Rhinolophus ferrumequinum: one gene and its partner. The protein of the gene in region 1 interacts with the protein of each later gene in a biochemical or structural test. Links are inferred from orthologs where the notes say so. Each region holds a gene or a part of one and is shown on either strand. Other genes may lie near its edges.

Region 1 (10,304 bases):
AAGTCCAGACAAGAACCATGCTCTTAACTGACAGCTGATGAGCAGATCCCAAGCTGGGTGCAGATTACACACCCGAGAACTGGCTGAGGTCTTGCTCCCAGGCCGGCTGGCAGCTAACAGACCACCTTGCTTTGGCCTCAGAAGCAGGTTCTCCTGCTGAGATTGCACACCTGCCCAATGCTGACAGCTGGGCCATGGAGGAGCCCAAACTTGGTGTCCACGCTTGAGGCAGGCCAGAGGGGAAGTTCCTCCTGCAGAGACGTGGTGACAGCCTGCTGGCTTGAATCAATCCTTTGTTTTCAGACTTGCGTTTTATCTCAGCTAAAATTTCAAGTCCTGATGAAAAATCCACCACTATTTCCAATGGCTAGCTTGTCTTTAAATAATGCTTTAAAAACCTGAGCACAACTGTTGTGTGCACACTACCAAGAGTTTACTTGTTTCCTGTATCCTTACTGGTGGTGATCTGTATATCATTCCACTCAGATCCTCAAAAGTGAAAAAGCAGCTGTTTGAGATACAACACAGGATAAAACCAGCAACACCGTAGGAGCAAAATGCAAAGAAAGCATGAAAGTGTTCACCTCCATTTTAGGTAAACTTTAAAAAATTCAGAGGAGGAAACACATAAAAGAAGTGGTAGATGACGCATAAAAGAAGGGTAAAGGGGATCAAATATATGGTGATGGAAGGAGAACTGACTCTGGGTGGTGAACACACAATGGGATTTATAGATGAGGTATACAGAATTGTACACCTGAAATCTATGTTACTTTACTAACAATTGTCACCCCAATAAACTTTAATTAAAAAAAAAGTACTTTCTTACCCTTTTGCAAGTAAATATAGAAAAAGTGAAGAAGAGACATAAAGCCTAGGGAATCCGCTAACCATTGCCGTCTTTCTCTCACTTTCTTTTATGCCACTTTCACTCTATTTAGGAAATTCAAGGAAAGCTTCCATATCAGATGAACACACTAGTATGCAAAAACAACACTGCCTGAGTAGACTATCAAACAGTAAATATAAAATGGAGTTGTAAATGGAACACACTGGGGCCATAACTTGAGATGACTTTAAAGATAAAACTAAAACATTTTTTTTGTCACTTAAAAGCCCTTATGGATCATCTTAATGAATGTTTGGACTACCCTATAAATACTGTAAACAGCAAGACAACTGTCAAAGTCCCATGGACCAAATGTTTCCCAACAGAATCAATGCTCAAATTCTCTGAAGTCTCAATTAACAATTATAGTACCATGAATCCAAGTATCTTTTCACAGCAAATCCATTCATTAAAAACCATTATCAAGCAACATTTTGCCTGTTGGGTGGCTAACAATGTTTCCTTCTATCCAGAAAATCAAGATTTTACATGAAAAGAAACTCAAGCACAGGAAATGCATAAATTCATTGACTATATCTTTGAGGGTTGAAATTGGCTTAGCAAAAGCAACCTAAACTGTATACCAAAGCCACAAGATCAATAATCTGGGAATTTCGAAATCTTCTGGGCAACCAACTTGACAGCGAAACTATACGATCAGCCTCATTTTAACTTGTAATCCCCCAGTCGCCTTCTTGGACCCCTCAATCCTGAGAGCCACGCTGCCCACTATCTTCCTGGGCTATCCCCATGCACTTCATTAATGTGTAAAGAAAACACGAATACTTGGCTGGGCAAGAAAAACTCAGCCTCCCTCCAGCTGTTAGGCAGATTCTTCTCCCTGTTGAAAACACAACTTAGGGAGACTAATGTCTCTCTCAAGTATTATATTTTCCGACTACACTAAGCTTATTCCTCAAAACAACTATTAAAAAACAAACATAAAACCACAGCATTCAGCGTGGGCACACAATCAGAAACCACTTTACATTGTACTTGTCTCATCTTCTTGAAGACTCAGAAAGCTGCCTGAAGGGTCTCATGTGTCATTAGCAGTGCACGTCTGATCCGCACCTGACCTTCTCCTTGTATTCTGAATATTCATAGACTCCTAGAAAGTTATAATCTAAGAGGACCTTTAGAGATGATCTAGTCTGAGCTCCACTTGAAATGAACTGGATGAGACTCGTTAACCTCTTACAGCCCAGTCAGTCAGGCAGATATGGGTTCAAATCCTGCCTCTGGCACATTCTGGTAATGCAGACTGTTTTCTTATCTGAAAAACAGAGATAATACCTACCTCATAAAACTTTGGGATGATTAAATGAAATAATATTTTTTTTTAATTTAGACTTTCCTTTTTTCTTTTGTCCCTTTTAAGATAATTTTTTGGCCGATTTTCTTTCTGGTTTATATTACATTAAATTGCAAGTCCAAGAGATGGGGCTTTTCTCCTACTGTATTTCCTAATCTTATGATTCGTAGCCCAGTACACAGCATCTTTTGAGAGAACCATAGACCAACTATGTGAAAGAATACATTAAACCTCTATCGCCACTACCTATTTCGGCAAATGTATTGTACTTTAGTTCCCCGAAGAACCCAACCATTTAGGTTTACATCTTTCCCAAACTGTGCCTTCTCAAAACAAATACCTCTTTCTAACTCCCTGCTCTCTCTTCTTACACACATACATCCTTCTGTTTAAAACTAAGAGCTGAAAAAAACCACTGCCTCTCCCAAATGTTTGAAATAAAATTAGCATTTTTACCAGGATAGTAATGCAAACTGTGATAGGTGGAGAGACAGGATTTGGAAGGATTCAAAACTTCTGGCAAACTTTCTTAGGATGTGTGGCATCAAGTCCTTAAATGAGAATTGTTATAACAATTATGGCAGAAAGTAAACCAGAAATTCACTGGTCAATTCTCAGTGAAGCTAAATACTGCACTTCACTCCATTCTTTGGCAAACAGTGACTAACAGGATTAACCCCAGTCTAATATTGGGTTAAATATCCTTCAACAAGAAACAGGTTCCATTAGCGGTGTCGGTCCCTTGGTAGTCAATTTATATTTAATATATATTTAATATATATTTATATATTAAATTTTGCTTTTGAAACACATTTGACTAAAAAAAATTTGCTCCATATGCCAGGGCAATAGTGTCATTTCTTTCCTTAGCAGGGGGGCAGCAACAAAAGGACCCACGGGGGAAAACAGGATAAAATCCCAGTCCCCGGAAGAGGACACAGATTTCCACCAAAGTAAGGTTGGTTCTTTCAAGGAATGTTTTCCATAACACCTAAAACGGTTTAACACATAATCGTCATCTTGTACCACTTACACAAATACCATTTAAGCAACTCTGGTGGCCTGGAAAAGGACCACAGAAATCCTTCCTGGCCTCAGCTGTCCCCTCCTGCGGGGCTTGACAGCGTGTCCAAGGCACCCAAACACCAGCCACCAGGCTCCCCCCAGCGCCCTCCTCTCGCAGCAAGCTGCTAAGGCTCTAGGGCCAAACTCCAATGTTGCTGGATTCAAAACCGCGAAAATGTGAACCCTGCAAAGCAAACGGTAGAGCGCGTAATAACTTCTCATTCTTCTTCTTTTCGCGGATTGGAGATGCTTGCGTCTAACTCTAAACCAACTATCCAGGTCCACAGCCCGCTTCTCGCAATCTACCTCCAGGGGAAGGCAAGAGGGTGTACGGACCAAAGAGAGGGCTGGTGAGTTCTACATTCTCAGCGAATTTCCTAGTGCGAGAAATGTAGTACACAGCAGCCCCATAATGATTAGATGCAGATATAAAGGAAGGAGAATGCTCTTCTCCCCACCGCTGCTAAAAGGAATAATAAAAACATGCAGCGGGCGTTTAGCTGGAAATGCCGGGCCCTCCTCTGGGCTGAAGAGGCCCGCAAAGCAGGCGTCTGGAGTCTGAAGAAAGTTGCCCGTCAAAGTGGAGGCCAGAACATGAGTGTACAGACTCGGTCCCAAAGGGGCCGAGGGGAAAGAGATGGGGTCCAACCAGCCCCGCGCGCGGCCAGCTGCAGCTGCCAGAGAGAGGTGTGGGCACCGAGGCCCGTGGAGCACCCGCCGAAACTGTACTTACATAACGCTTCAACTTTTTCTCCGGGGGGGACTTGCGAAGCCATCCCGAGCAGACCACTTCGCCGCCGCTCATGGTGCGCGCCTCTCGGGCTCCGGCCCGGGCAGCAGAGGGGCGGGCGGGCGCGATCCCGATACAGTCGACGCCTGCCGGTAGCGCAGACGCTGGGACCTCGCTCTCCGGTCGCGCAGCTCGGGCCGACGGAGCGGGCGGGCTACTAGGAGTGCCGGCTCTCCGCGTCCGAGGCTCTCTCTCGCAGATCCGCGAACTTGAACAGAAACGGGCTGCGCCGCGGAGGCCGACACCTCGGAGCAGGGGCAGTCCCCGGACCGAGGGCGCCCCGGCCTCCCTTCACGGCGTCCGCCTTCCAGCCAGGCGCCCCGTCCCGCGGCCTCCTCAGCAGCGATCGGGATCCGTGGGACTCTGCCCCGGCCCGGAGCAGGAGCCTCGGTCCCCTGCGCTCCGCCCCCTAGGGACAGGACCTCCCCAGAGTGCTTTCCGAAAGACACTATGCTGCACGCGCACACACACACTCACACACACAATGCCCCGCGCAGCGTCCACTCCAGCTTGCCCGCTCTCGGTTTCGGTGCGCCCGGGACAATCCTCCCCTTCGCCCTCGTCGGAGGATGGCGGGTCACTGCCCCGCACGCCCGGGAAGCGGGGAGGAAAGGGAAAACTGCGAGGGTCCGGTGGGCAGTGGGCGCAGGGTAGGTCCTGAGTCGGCCGCCAAGCGCTGGGCAGCGCAGGGCGGCAGGCGCTAGGGACCCAGCAGGTTTCGCCGGAGGGTGGGTTCACGCTCGCGGCCGCCGAAGAGGGCGGGGAGCGGGGAGGAACCAGGCGCTCGGCTTCTCGGCTCTGGGGATGGATCCCACTGTCCCGTCCCCTTGCGCTCCTTCGGCGCCGCCTCCCCCACCCGGGGCCAGCGGCAGATTCTGAGCCGCCCGGCCCACGGCCCCGATCCCTCCCGCTCCCGACTCCCTCTTCCTCCCTTTTCTCCTCCCCTTCCCACGTTGGGGCCGGCTCCGGTTTCTGCCCAGACTTTCTCTGAAACTCCGCCCGAGGGCTTCCAGCCAAAACAACAAGGGCCAGGGGGGAGGGGAAAAAAGGAGGAGGGAGCGAGAGAGGGAGGGAACGGGAGTCCGAGAGGCACCCTGGGATCTGTAGTTCTGGAAGCTGGAGCGGGGTCCTCCGCCTCCCAGTGGCGGTGGCGGCCGGAGCCCCCAGCCCGCTCTGTGCTGGGGACGGGAGGAGTAGCCTCGGCAAGGCCATCGCTGTTGAGACTTGGGCGCGGGGAGAGTGAGGAACGTTCGAGTGTTTACCATCTTGGCTCACCCGGGTGTCAGTTCGGAGTTTGTACTACTGCATGAGATCTGGAGTTCGGGAAGTTTTCTCTATTTGACAGCCTGCAAAGTAAAAGAGCCGGTAGGGCGACCGCAGAGCCTTGGGGAGGCAGCGACCCCGCCGATTCCTGCCTGGGAAACCGAAGGGCCGAGGGCGGAGGGCGCGTGGGAGCGCGCCATAGATACCTGCCTGAAGGGGAGGACAGAAGGACCCACCCGGGCTAGCGTGGTCTGGTCCCCCGAGCAGCCCTGCCAGAGTGGTGGGATCTCTTAGAGGGGCCAAAGGATTCGATTGAGTCAATCTCTGGGACACTGTAAAGCCTCACACTCCCTCCATTTGTTGCCAGTTTTTTCCACTTGACTTTGTATTTGTTTAAAGTCTCCCTTTGGGATGTTGGACGAGAAAAGGGCAAGTTACTGGATGTCCTAGTTCTATTTGCCTACTTGTGTGTGTTTTACAATTATGATACCTGGTCCTGAGATTAACATGATCCTGTAATAGAAATATCTTTTCCAACTTATTTATGAAAAACTAAGCCCCAACACAAATTTTAGAAGGTAACATAAATAATCAGATAAAAATACTAAAATATTAGGAGATAAGTGAACATTTCTGGAAACAACCTCAGGCGTTTTCTTATTTACACACGTTCATATTCAGGACTTCCTCTGAGTTTGAAAATGTAAAATTATAGTAGGAAATTAAGTGCTGGGGTGGCGATATACACAAGTTCCTACACTCATGGAGGTGACACTCCCGTGGTGGCATAGGAGAGTAAAAAAGTGAAAGGTCTATGGAGTACAGATTGTGATAAATGTTGTGCCGTGAGGGAAATAAACCCGATAAGGTGAAAGAACAATGGGATGGAACTAGGTTAGATAGGATAAGAGATAAGTATTCCTTGAGGAGGCATTTAGCCCGATATTTGAAAGACGTTGTAAAGAGAGAACTAGACTCGTTTTGTGGAAGAATAAAAGGCATAACCGTAAGGAGGACTGAGAGAGAAAGAACAAGCAAGATGTTTGTTGTAAGGGTTTTTTAAGAACACAAGTGAGTAATTTTTATGGCAGCTAATGAACCAAAATAATTTCTTTTTACGTACCGTGTTTCCCGGAAAATAAGACCTAGCTGGACAATCAGCTCTAATGTATCTTTTGGAGCAAAAATTAATATAAGATCTGGTCTTATTTTACTATAAGACTGGGTCTGCTAGGTCTTATTTTCAGGGAAATGGTATGTGAACACAAATTTTGCCACAGGCCAAAATAAATCATCGAATTTGTTTTCACTTCTCCCATAGGCAGTGTGTCTACACCAAGTCAAAAGCATTTATAATTAACTTTGGTAAGACGGGTCCACCCTTGCTTAGTTAACTGTTGGCTTTTATTTACCACTGTCTCCACTCCTGTTCTAAAGTTGTTTTGAAAGAAAAATCGTAATGTATCTTGTACTATTTAGCTTTTGGAAGCTCCAATAATTAAATATATATATATATATATATATATATATATATATATTTCAAAGAAGGGATTCAGTTATCTCATTTCTATATAAGAAATCTTTAAATATTTTTCCATATCATTGACTCTGATTTAGATGAGAATTTCTAGAGACCAAATAAGGGTTGAGGAGAGGTTGACAATAGATACGTCTCCATGTATGTATTTTAGACAAGACAGTTGCATTATTTTACATCATATGCCATTTTTCGATTATCTGTTACCTTTTATATCTAAAAGATATGCTGGAAAAAGCTATTATACATAAGTATTTTAAATTTCATTCCTACAACAAACATTTATGGAATATCCTAGTATGTATAAGTCCCTGAGGACCACAGATACGATAGGGAGGAAAGCCAGACATGTTCCCGTAGTCCTCTATCCTGGAAAAAAAAGGTTTTAAGATAATTAACCCCATAACTTCTATAATACAATTAATAAATGTTATGAAAGAAAAAAAAATAGAGTGTGTTATTTGGGTGTATAACCGGGTCTACCCTCCATGGAAGGAGAGTGAGCAGGTTAGGAAAGACTTCCTTTGGAAAAGACTTTAAACTGAGGTTCTCAGGATGAGTACAAGTTGGCCTGGCCACGTTGTGGAGAAGAGTGTTCTAGACAAAAGAGAAACTACTAGGTTACAAGTCAGGCTGGAGGGAGCTCCTGAGTACCTAAAAGACAGCAGCAGTGGGGCGAGTGAGAGGGGACACTGGGTGAGAGGGTGAGGTTCCAGAGGCAGGCAAGGGAAGGATTGTGCAGACCCCTGGAGATCTCAGAGTTTGGACTTTTCCTTAGAGCAAATGACCACGTCATTTCCTGTGACCTTCAAATCACCTCCAACAATTGCCTCTATGGGCTTTATTATTCACCTCCAGCATCCCACTTTAACCAGATATCTTCAACTTGATCTTTCAAGTTTTTCCAATATAATCTTTCTTCTCAACAGCTTTTGCAGCCTGTTGATACCTCTGCTTTCTCATGATCCATCAGACCTCTCCTTTCTTCACCCCTTATCCAGTTTAAATTTTATGGTCCATATTTTTAATAACATACACCAAACTCACAAAACCCCAACTCTGAATGAACCCCAGTCTGCTTTCTCCTGCATCAAGTGATGCTGGAGCAAGTTACGCATGAGTGACACCACTAAAAAATTCACATTTAATGACCTCCAATAGCTCCTCAGCTATCAGCACAGGCAGATCTTGGTCTTCTGGGACCTGAAGCTTATACGGTTTGGGAAGTTCTTTTAAAGGAAAAGAATATACAATTACAAATATAAAATTAGGATGAAAGTGTATTTAGAATGAGAAAATAAATAACAAATGATTGGAGCCTAGGACTACAGATGCATTTCTTTTGAGATCTCTGTGATGATTTACCAGAATCCTCCCATGGATATGTTTCCTGAGTGCATCCTGGCTTCCCCTCCCAAGCAGCACACTGCACCTTTCCCATCAGCTCCCTATTCTCCTGGGGGCCTGTGCAATGAGTGGCTCCGAGCTGAAGATTCATTAGCTTCATGGATGTCTCTGCTAGTCAGCAATCCTACTTCATTTATTTGGACAGTACACTCACTAGTCTACCCTCTGAAATAACTTTTCTTTTTAAATAACAGCTTTATTGAGGTATAATTCATAGGCCATAAAATTCACATTTTTTCAAGTGTACAATTCAATGGTTTTTAGTATGTTCATAAAATTCTTCAACCACACCACTAATTTCAGAATATTTCATTGCCCCAAATAAAAACTCCATTCTCATTCCCCCTTCCCTCTCAGCCCCTGAGAACCACTAATCTTTCTGCTTCTATGGATTTGCCTCTTTTGAACATTTCACATAAGTGGCAACATACAATTTGTGACATTTTGTGACTAGCTTCTTTCAGTTAGCATAAGTTTTAAAGGTTTGTGCAGGTTGTAGCATGTATCAGTACTTCATTTTCTATTGTTAAACAATATTCGATTGTATGGATACAACACATTTTATTTACCCATTTATCAGTTGATGGGCATTTGGCTTGTTTCTAATTTTTGGCTATAATGAATAATGCTTACAATAACTCTTAAACTTTCTTCAGATTTCTCAAATTTTCAAACCCTCTACTTTTCCCATCAACTGACTATCTTTCTTATAGCTTCCCCAGAAAACCAAAGTGCTCAAATGGAAACTCCTTTGACTTCTAGCCATCAAACATCAAACATGCAAACCTACATACTATCTTCACTCCTCTTACTCTTCCGCTTCCTATGGCAAATAAGGACATTGCTTTTCGCCTGTGAAAGGCCAATCTCTCCACTTATACTTTGAATTTCATCCCATTGCACTGTCTCAAGAACCTCACCCTGTAAATGATCTTTTTATATCTAAATACTCCATTCTCAATGTAATTCTTTCCATCACTATGTGCATGTGTGTGTTCAAATAAAACTTTATTTACAAAAACAAGTGGCAAGACAGATTTGGCCAAGGGCCATAGTTTGCCAATTTTTGCTTTATACCACCATGATATGATTGGGTGTGCATACACACAGACTCATACATACACACACACAAACACATGTTTTTTAAAATGGAAGTGTACTATAATGCCCTTTAAAGTAGCTATTGTGAGAGAGAATCTTATGTGAAGTTGCTGATAACATGTAGTTGCAGATTATTTAACTCTTCCCTAATATTAGCATTATCCTGCATAAACAATTGAAAAATTAAAATGAAAGTTGGTTCCACTGTATTTGACAAAATTATTGTAGGCAATAATAGATTACAGTTCTCTAAAACTGAGTTAAATTATACATTTTCAACATACATTTCTTCTGTCAAAGTATCATTTTAAACATACCTCTTTTCTGTTAAAACAAAACAATGTGAAAAAACGTCTACATCTTATATTCCTTTTTAGCTACCAGCTTTTCTCTCTTCTTTCACAGCCAGATTTCTATTAAGTGTTGCTATAGTTTCTGTTCCTAGTTCTCATCTTCCTTCACTCCTCAGACTGCTTCTTTCTGGCTATCATCCCAATTTCTCTTATACTTGAAAAGGTCACTCTGACCCCCACATCACTAAATCAAACAATAATTTTCAGTCTTTATATTTCTCAGTCACTCCTTCCTAAAACTCTCAGTACCCTTGATCTTAGAGATATTGCAGTTTTGAACCTTCCTGTTTCCTTGCTCCATCTTAGATTTCTTTGCAGGCTCTTCTTTTACTGGCCCTTGGCATTCTGAAATCTAGCCCGCCTCTCTTCTCATTCTCTACTTTTTCATGTATGGTGGTATCTGTGTGTTTATCTGTACCTAGACATTTCACAAATTTCCATCCCCAGTTCAGTTCTCTCTTCTGAACAACCAACCTGTAAATCCAACTGTCTTCGGGATATGGCACTTGGCTCCACAGAATTAACAAGATCAGAATCATGATCTTCTCCCCAGCTCTCAGATCAGAACTCTGGAGATTCCCATT
Region 2 (10,549 bases), on another chromosome or scaffold:
CTTTTCATTAAAAAACATTAAAAAGGCAGAACCAATTTAGCAACGACTGCGTTAGAAATGCATAAAAACATTATTAATGTTGGATTTTTTTTTCTCTCATTTATTTTTAGTTCTCTTCAGAAAATTACACTTGAGAGCTTTCTGTAATGGCAATTGAAGGAGCAAGTAAGACAGCACTGGGACCGTCTTGTAACGCTAATGAAGGCCAATACCCAGCTTGTAAGGCCTTTTCTGTATACAATCATGTTTCAGAAACCACGGGCTGACTTACAGAATGACTTGAGTGTGTGAGACAACCAACCAGGGAAGTTCCCATCTAATAAGACTCATCCATCGTCCCAGGAAGACATCCAATGTGGCCCTCCATAAATCTGACAATGGCTATACTCGTGTTTTAGTGGTAAAATCTTATACAATGAGAGGGAGAACAATGAGAGGGATTTTTCCTCTTTGACTACATCAAAATATCGTCTTGTACCCCAAGGCTCTGAGGTCTCATAACTCCCCTCTTGTATTATTCCTTTCAGTTTTTTCCTTCCTATTTCTTCATAGTTCTACATTTTTCAGTTCCTAGTATTATCTTCAATGTTTCAAGTTTCTTACACAGAGCCTTAAGCTATAGAAATGCAATAAGTATCTATGCTTAACAGAGTGCTATTATTCAGATGAACAAAATCGAAAACACATTTTGGTAGCAACAGTCCCAGATTTTCAATAACTTAAAATAATTTAAAACCTAGGAGGTGGTGGTGGGAGGGTCTTGTTGCTAATTTCCATGTCCTTGTGTCACTTCTCATTACATGCGCTGTCTTCAGAGAGAAGACTCTGGAATCAGATGCCGTGCTTCAAATCCAGGCTCTCTCACATACTAATTAAATGACTGTGCAAGTGACTTAGCCTCTCTGTACCTCAGTTTCCTCACTTGTGAAAGAAGGATAATATTAGCACTTACTTCACTGTGCTATTATGAGAAGCAAATGAGTTAATACCTGCAAAACGTCAGACCAGTGCTTGGCAGATAACAGACGCTGTTTTCGGAATGTTACATGTATCAATTATTTAATCTTCAAAACAATATGATGAGATAGGTGCCATTATTACTCTCATTTTATAGGTTAAGAAACTAAGGAACAGAAAGACTAAGCAACTTGTCCCAGTTGGCCTAGTTTGTAACTGGAGGCTCAGCCTCAAACCTAGAATGTCTGGATCCACAGCAATCACTCGGGAAATGTTACTTATTATTATTATGGTTGGTAGTATTAGTATTATTACCTGAACTTATATACTCAATAAATATCTGCTGTTGCTGCTGCTAATGATGAATTTGTATGTCCAATCCTTCCTCAAAGTGTGCTAAAATGTATATGACCCCCAACGGTATAGTTGATTTAGGCAAGGATTTTCCCCTAAAGCCACTGGTGAAGTTTGTTGGGAAACAGGCTATTACCACAGCGCCAAAGTGTCACTCGCTCAGATTACTTGTTAATTGCAAAGGAGAGAAAAGTACCTTTACAAAGGAGAGACCCCTGGAGTGAGATCTCTGCTTTGAGCCATGATCAAAGTAAGCATCACAGAGGGACAACCTGGCATTACGTGCCTCCTGATGAGATGCAATATGGAGCACCTTGTAAAAAATGCTCAGTCAAAAGTGAATCAATGCTTTACTTCGAACTTGGAGTTTACAGAAAACACAGGGGGTAAAGGAACAAATTAAATAACACCATCAGGCATCAACAAATCCAGAATGTGGAACATTCTACAAGATAACTAGCCTAACCCTTAAAAAGAATCCAATGTAGAATAAAAACACATAAAACCCAAATGCAAAAAATGTGCTTTCCTTTTTACAAATTGGATCCATTTTTAAGTTATGGAAGACATTTGGGGGACAAATGGCAAAAGTTCGATATGGCCTAGATATTTGATGATATTAAGGAATTGCTGTTCGTCTTCTTAGGTAATGATGATATTGTGATTACTTATGAGAATGTCCTTCTTCTTAGATGTGTACTGAATTGTTTCGGAGTGAAGTGTCATTTTGTCTGTAACTTACAAGTAGTTCAGAAAGAAATACATATAGATGGAACAGATATATCAAAATGTTTGCCATTGTTGAATCTAGGTGGTGAGTATGGAGGTATTCAATGTACTAATAGTTCAACTTTACTTTTGAACGTTTTCTTTACTGTCTTCATAAGATCTATGCTTACATGTTCTTGGGAGAACATGTAAGACTTTTGTTTTCATGTACTTAGTAATAGGTTTTTTTTTTTTTAATGCTTTAAAATGTTTACCTCTGAATGCATATTTAAAAAAACTGTTTTTAAAAAATTATTTACTGACTTCCTATTGGCTAAAATGTATTAAAGACTAGTATTAACATTGTCGATGAGAACGCAATGCCTAACCCAGGGCCCAACTTATAGTAAATGCTCAATAAATGTTTGTAAATGTTTATTTATGTACTACGCTTTCCTGAAAATTGTAAAGTGACAAAAAAAAAAGAAAAAGGAAAGAGAGAGACATGAGGCTATGTTGTTTCTTTACGGATCAAGATATGCTGGGCAAATACTTGTGATCGACAAAATGAGGGCCAATTGACTCTATCCTTTGATTCAAATAACTTAGGTCACGAAGATTCTTGACCAACTTTTGAGTTCGTTTTGTGAGGGCACGAAAATGGAGAATCTGTCCCTAGGACTAATTCAGAAGCTACCGTTACTTGTTTAAGAAATCCTGATGGAATCACACTTAATGACACATTTTTGAACAAATGTAGACTTTTCTTGATCCAGGAAAAGAGGTAAGTTCTGCTCAAGTCTAGGGATAAACCCTACAAGTCACCAATACCATTGGGTGTTATTCTCTGAGACACAAAAAATATGTGGGAACTAGGGTCATTTTCAGCTCTTCCAGAAGGCAATGGTTTTAAAAGAGAGGGCTTCAGGCGGTAATATATACTTTGTATAAGAGGTGGGAAGAAAATGATCAAAACTCAAAGAAATAATTAATAACGATATCATTTTGCATTTTCATTAATGCCTTTTCCTAAGGCACTTCATATCTGTGTTAATCATTTATTCTTACAATATCCCTATAAGGTATATGTAGAACAACTGAAATTTTTTTAAAAAGGGGGATTTTCATCAGGGCCTTAGATGTGGAAGCTATTCAAAAGGATATTATATTAGCAATAGAGATACTTCTTCATATTGAACAAATCGATCACCTCCTTCCCCTCTGCTTCAGTAAAGTCATTTAAAAAAATCTATTACAATTTAGGAGAATAAGATTACAGTTTACTACATGGGAGACACCCCAAGTTCAATCTGAAAAGGTAATTTTATTCAATGATATGGGGCCATCTCTCTTTGCAACAAAACCAAAAAAGTTCTCGAAAAAAGAATACAAATAAGAATTTGTAAAACTTGAAACTTAAATGCATTTAGATGGTCCTCTATTTACACAGCATTCTTTGTTTAGTAATGGAGCCTTTTGTAAAGAGAATCACTTTAAAATTATTTTACAAATGTCAAGTTTTATAAACAATACTGGGTTGTTAAAGCAAAATATACTTATACTAAATGTTCCTTCTAAAACCAAATATGAGAAAGAAAAAAAGGGGCGGGGGACCCACTAAAGAACTGAACAGTCATGCAGTTGTATAGAACAAGAGTCTCCAACCTGAGGTTTTCCTTTCTCACACGACATAACATGAGCACATACAATCTTTTCCATTGGGTTTTTGGATCCTAAACATTTTCCCTACTCTTAATTTATCTGGGGATGTATATTTTTAGTAATGTGCAAATTAAGTTGCATATACTTTATTGACAGGGCCTAGTTCCGGGTATGTAAATGTGATACTTTAAAGTTAGTAAAATCTTGGGTAGTGTATTCAGACCTCATGTTCAGGAACAAGTGGGGCACAGAGCATAAAGGAGTTGTCTTAAGATTCCACCCCTGAAGGAAGGCAGTCTTAGGGATACGGCGTTAACTTGAATAAAGAGACAAAGAGACAATACCCTCTTGAAATCTATCTTAACGTGATTTTCTTTTTTGTAAAGGAACCCAAACTGGCATTCTTTGTAAGGGCAACCTAAATACTCACAGAAGTAGAAATGAAAGCCATGAGAGAAATCCTGACATCTGATACTAGCGTTCATTCATGGCTGCTCAGCCCTTCACCCTCCCCCCTCCCGTCCCAGCTTGGATTAAATGCTGACTATGGTCAAGTGGAATTTCACCTCTGTAATCCCAGAGTCTAAAGTCTCTCCCTGAGAAGGCTCAGAAGCCAGTTAGTAGAGTTTTTGTGTGTGTGTATAATGGGCTGGGTAAGGAACAAGTCTTAGTTCATTTGCTAGAAGTCAAATCCTACCACCACAAACATTGCTATCGCAAAAGATTTAGGTACCTTAGCTGATGAACCAAAATATTAAAAACAATATTTGGAGAGCCCATGGGATTCCTTTTAATTACACTTGACTCATGGAGAGCATCTTGCAAATTATAAAACTGATCTCTAGAGTATGTGGACCAATGTTGCATAATGACGTACCTTTTAGACGAGATGAGGTTGAATCTGTATCTTGGCTTTGACACGAAGTTATTAGAATCCTCTCTTGCAAGAAGGAAGACGAATTCACATCCAGTTTACTGCATTTCAGAGTACGGATCCACCTTGTGCTGTCGTCCAGGTACCACACTAACAGAGGACACACACGCTCACAGATCCATTACTGGCGCCTCCTCCTCACTTCAGACTCCCTCCTCCAAACGGCCCCCAGTCAGCCCTGCAGTCTGTAGGCAAACCACACAGGAACTAGCAGATATGAGGCTTCAGAGTGTTGGGCGTGAGCCTTAGATTGTGTGGTTTTGTTTTCTTGCTGCCAGAGTTGAACTAAAATGCAGAAGGTTCCATGAAACACTTTTGCTTCTTTGTGCTTGGTTTCAATTTTAACAATTTCCTCCGTGAACGATTATGTTCACATAAGAAAATTTCTAATCCTAGAGATGGTCCATTGGCAAGCTGCTGCTGGCCTGAAGGAAAACTCTCATTTTCTCTTAGCATAGCCATGCATTCAGAGAAGCGGTAGGAATTCTTAGGGGAACTTATTTAATACCACCCTAGATCGCTCACAATATTAAAATCCCAGAGAAAATGCGTTCTTAGTGCACTCAACCTACAGTATTACTCTTAGCCCATAAAATCACCCTTGAAACAAAACAAAATAAAAAGGCTCTGAGCCAGGATGTGTTCTAATCCCAGTTTTATCACTGTCAGACATGAACTGGGACTGGTTGCTTCAATTTCTGAGATTCATTTTCTCTTGAGTTGGTTGGACGAGAGGATGTCTGGGATTTTAAGGGTTTTCACTGACCTAAAGTTTCTGTCACCTTCAACTTTCTCAGTTCTTACCTTCAAATGCATAGCTCGCCCTCCTCTTGAAGTTCCTCTCTCCTATACCAACTCACGAAGGCCTCTTCCTCTCTCTTTGCTCTTGCTAGAAAATGGATTGCAGCGTTGCATCTTTTGCACAAAAATTAGACAAGTTGCTAGTTGCTAAGTGGTACAATTCAGAGTTTGGGACCAGATCCAAAAGAAAGAGGGAAATGTGGGCTCACAGGATGTCCCTGGCATTAATCCCTTGAAGGCTAAGAAGGAGAGTACCATATAAGACTCAAGTTGGGGTTCTAAAATTTAACCTTATTCTCTAATGTGAAATGGTATCTTTTTCTATCTCTTTGCCCCTTTATACTTCGATCTTGCTCAAGAGTTACTCTTTGTTTTGAACTTTTCCCTTGGCTACAATTGCTCAATATTTTTGTTGAAATAGAAAAGAAGAATCTGGTATAGAATCAGCAGAGTGCCTTGATCACAGTGGGTGCTCAGTAAATATGTGTTGAATGAGTTAAAAGGAATAATTTGCTACTCTTAATTCCTTAATGAAGGACTTTCTTTTTATGAATGCTGGCTTGTTGAATGTTCTTAAATTCAAGTTGTGTCTGAATAGGGTCCCCATTATTTCCACATACTATAAAGATAGGATTTTCGAGATAACGACATGTTGCTGATTTTAAAACAATGGTTGGCCTCAGTGTTCTTCAGTCTTTATGGTGTGACGACCTGGATATTCGCTACACCCACCAGCTCCTTTGCCAGTTTTTGAACACTGAAATCCTCTGGCCACAGTCCTTATCCCAAGCCAGTGTTCAGAGGTGGTTAAACGCTGAGTCCCTAAAACTTCCCTGACTGGGGAATGAGAAGAAAGAGGAAGTGTTGAACTATAGGAAGTATGGTGGTGTTTTCAGCTCACACCCTAATGAGGAAGCTGCTTTTCCACAAGGCGCTGTGCCCAGGGAGCAGACTAGAGCCCCTCTCCCTTACAAGTAAGGGGTAGAGGCAGGAAAGGAACATCTCAGCGAGAGTTATTTCGGTAGTAAGTAATGATTGGCAGGTGTGTTATAGAGCACCCTGGGAGAGAAGCAAGGCCATTACAGTGGTTCATTTCATACCAGCTCTGTAATTGAACAAGTGCTAAGGCAGGACCTAAGAATAAAGACCGTAATGTGAAAATGCCAGCATTTCAGTCCTTAATGTCATGGACACTCATAAAAAATATCAGCACAATTGGGAAGGTTAAGGAATATGTGGAATCTGAACTTATCCACAGTGGAGAAATTTTAAGAGCATACTTGTTTAAAATTTTTCATCAATTCCTTTTGAGGGGATCATTATTAATATCAAAACTCCTTGTGCATAATTATGTTTAATTAAATTTTATGGTAAAATGTGTACTTCTCATTCAATAGTGTAGATCCAAACATTCTCTTGTCATTCATTTGATAAGTAACGTTTGAACACCTACTCTGTGTTAGGCCTGTTCTAAGTGCTGGGAATGTATCAGCGAACAAAACATAGTCCCCACCCTCTTGGATCATACCCTCTGGCACAGGGAGAAACAATATGTACGTCAGATGGTTGTACTACCACGGAGAAACATAAAATGTGGCAAGAGTCAGAAGGAGTGTGGCTGAGGTGGGGAGGGGGTTGCGATTTCACTGGGAGAGCAAAGGATGTTTGAGTCAAGTCCAAAACAAAGTGAGTGATCCAGCCTGATAGCTCTCTGAGGAAACAGTTTTTGTAGGTATAAGGACCAGCAAGCCTTAAGGGGGGAGCAAGCCTGACTCAGTCAGTGAGGTGGAGAGGAGTCAAGAGAGAGGTTGGAGAGGGAGGAGGGGCTAGAACACGTGGGGCCTTGCTAGCCATGGCAAGGTCTCTGGATTTTGCTCTGAGTGAGATGGAAGCTGATGGAAGGTTTTGAACTGGGGAGTTATATGATCTGACCTGGGTTTTAAGTTTTAAAAGGATCTTTGGTTGTTGTGTTGAGATTATATTGTAAAGGAGCAAGAGCAGAAGCAGAGAGACCAGTTAGGAGGCTACTGCAACAGTCCTGGCAAGAGATGATGGCAACTTAGGACAGGTGGTTGGAAGTGAAGGTGGTGGGAAGTGATTGAATTCTGAATATACAGGGTGACCATAAAATCTGGAAACATAAATATTATGTTTTATCATGTATTAGAACGTGGCACTGATAAACCGTTTATTATCTACTGACCATATACTACCCAGACTTGGGAGCCACCTGTATTAAAGGAGAACTGATGGATATGATGTGCGGTATGAGAGACAAAGAGAGGACTCAACGATGACTCTAAGATCGTGGGCGGAGAAGCTAGAAGCAAGGATTGTCATTTACTGAAATGGGGGAGATGGTTTTGAAGATCAGGAGCTTCATTTTGGACATATTAAATTCGAGATGTTTGTGAGAAACATCAGCGGGAAGGTCAGGACAGGTTAGGGCTGTAATAACACCTTGAGAGTTGTTGAGAGAGTAAAGGATGTCTAAAGCTATGAAACTGGCTAAAACCACCTAAAGAATGAATACAGATAGAGAACAAACCCTTCCAAAGCTGAGAGGTCAGAGAAATGAGGAGAAACCAGCCAAGGAGATGGGAGGGAGCAGTGATGCCCTAGAAATCAAGAGAAGAGAACTTTGTTGTCTTTTGTAAAATTCTGAGTTCAGGGGGAAAAAACACACCAAGTAACTGTTGTGAAAAGATGTCTGCATTTGGTGAATGCTACAATACTGCAACTAAATTATGGTGCCCCCAAATGGAGGAAAGCAGATAAGAAGGACCTTTTACATAATGCCACTTTAACAGAGTTAATTCCACCAGGTATGTAACACTTTACGCTTTTGCCTAATCAATTCCATTTCGAACTCACCCAGAGATTCATTCTAAAAGAAGAAGAGGAATGGGTTTTTTATTCTCTTTTAAATCTGGGAATCTCTGACCTTCTGAAAACACAAAAGGTAGACTTGTGAGTGAGAATGCCAACAGAACTCAAGCAATGTCAATGACCCAAGCTTACTCCTTAGGGTAGGGGAAAGGGCATCGAATTGGATGCAGCAGATTTGGGTTCAAGTTCTAGCTAAATCACCTGCTAGTTGAATGTTTTGGGGCAATTCATGTAACCTGTTTGTTCCTGCAAACTCAGCTCAAGTTCACCTCCTCCAGGAAGCCTTCCCTAACTTTGTAGATTTAGACAAATCTCCTTTTTACTCCCATGTCACTCTATACTTGCCTTTATCAAGGCAACTTGTAATTGCTGACTTATTCCTGTCTCCTCTGTTAGACTATAATTTCCTTGTATTCCTATCACTCAGCACAGTGTCTGACACATAGTAGGTGCTCAGTAATGTAGAATGAATGCATGTTGCTCAAACTCACTGTCTCATAGGTGCAATGGGAGTAATTGATGCCTACTTTTGAGTTCCTTTGAAATTTACATAAGATATGCATAGAAAAAAATCTTCATAAACTGTAACTCAATATACAAAATTCTTGTTGTTTGTCCCCTACTACTTTATAGAATAACACCTTACTCTGGTATTCAGGCCCTGAACAGTCTGTTTCTGGGCCAGCTTTTCAATTTCTCTCTGGCTCCTACCCCCACTACTTTATATTATAGCAGGCTAAGCAATATTTCAAACACACCAACATCTTTCACATCTCCTATCATCTTATTTTATACTTACCTATCTACATGTCAGTATCTGTTATAATAATAATTATAATTGAAGTAGTAGGAACTGAAAACAAATGTTACTTTCATCTCCTAAGTCTTTCACCTCCACCCTAGTGGAATGTTGACATATTCTACTCAACCACCAACATGCTTTAAAACGAGGGTTTTATTATATTTTCAATGCCTAAAGGATAAAATCACCTAGTAGTATGGACAAGGTCCTTAATGATCTGATTTTCCCCTGTCACTTCATGTCCCTCTGCTGTTCTACTAATAGCCTTTCCAACAGCCATAGTAACTACAGTCCTGGCAGTTTTACCAAGATGATAGGTGCTCTCAACTTTCAAGCCTTTACACAGGCGCCCTTTGCCTCTAATGGCCTCCTCTCCTTTGTCTATTCAGTGAACTCCCTGTCATTCTTTAAGATTCAATTCTGATATAAACTCTTCTGTGAAACCTGCCCTTAAGTACTCCTTGGCAAAATTACATGCTCGCTCCTGTCTTATTACAGGATACACATCTTGTCACAATCTTCTGGGATGGTGCCTGTCACCTACACTTGACCGTAAACTCATCCAGCATTGCATTGGTGTTTTAGGTCATGGTCCCTACTGCTTGGCAGGGTGCCTGGCACAGAGTGGGTGTTCACTGGAGATCAGCTGAATGTTTCATCCACTACGCATCAGTGGTACCCGAGGCCATCAGTGAAGGCACTCCATCACTGCCCATCACGCACACTGCTCTTTTAATCTCTAGAGCCTACTATTAATTTCTTTCTCTTTTGAGATGGAAATCAGCTGCGGATGGCATTTCAACTCAGTTAAAATTACACTAACCCAAGTTGTAAAATTTATTCTTTGAAAGGAGAATTCGGGCAGCACCACAGATCAACAGATTGTTAAATGAAGACATTTACTTTCATTCCACTTGATATCCCCAGGCTGGGATACTTTAGCCCCAAGCATTCCTCTAGCTTGAGGCCCTGGGAGACGCGGGCCCCAGACCTAGGAGAGGCCGGAAGTGAGGGGCCGGAAGTGAGGAAGCGGAAGTGGGGAAGGATGGGCAGTTGGGCCTGGGAACCAGGGAACGTGAATTTGAGTGGGAAAATGCCCTGATGTGGTAGCTGGAGCTTCCCCTCAGGTAATAGACTCCCTTTTGGTGGAGGGGGGCCGGGAGGGGTCCGCTACCCGCCTCGTCTCACGCCGGTGCTGTCCGCTGCCCAAGGCCCGGGGGGAGGTGGACGGGGCCGCACGGGCTGAAGGGGGGAGGGCCCTGCTGCGTGTGCTGCCCTCACGTCACTCTCACTTTTTAGAAGCTTTCCTGCTTCCAGCTTCCCCCTCCAAGTAAATCGTGTGCTCTTAGAGGGTAGTCGCTGGAAGTTGATTTTCTCTCAGCCTCCGCCCTTCATGTTCAAAATTCTTACCCACGCATCTCGTTTCTTGCTCTCAACAGCCC

What was found. The genes of interacting proteins can lie anywhere in the genome.
Region 2: the proteins of GAB1 (region 1) and GRAP2 form a complex in vitro, tested with the Homo sapiens proteins (2 studies listed by BioGRID and IntAct, with this or other methods). The link is inferred for Rhinolophus ferrumequinum from reciprocal best matches to the Homo sapiens genes GAB1 and GRAP2.

The regions. Positions count from the first base shown.
Region 1 is NC_046301.1:17,749,193-17,759,496, reverse strand, and holds the start of GAB1 (GRB2-associated-binding protein 1), read right to left. Parts: upstream 4,892-10,304; 5' UTR 4,075-4,891; coding exon 4,003-4,074; intron 1-4,002. UniProt on the Homo sapiens protein: Adapter protein that plays a role in intracellular signaling cascades triggered by activated receptor-type kinases. Plays a role in FGFR1 signaling. Probably involved in signaling by the epidermal growth factor receptor (EGFR) and the insulin receptor (INSR).
Region 2 is NC_046293.1:7,688,032-7,698,580, forward strand, and holds the start of GRAP2 (GRB2-related adapter protein 2), read right to left. Parts: upstream 4,788-10,549; 5' UTR 4,559-4,787; intron 1-4,558. UniProt on the Homo sapiens protein: Interacts with SLP-76 to regulate NF-AT activation. Binds to tyrosine-phosphorylated shc.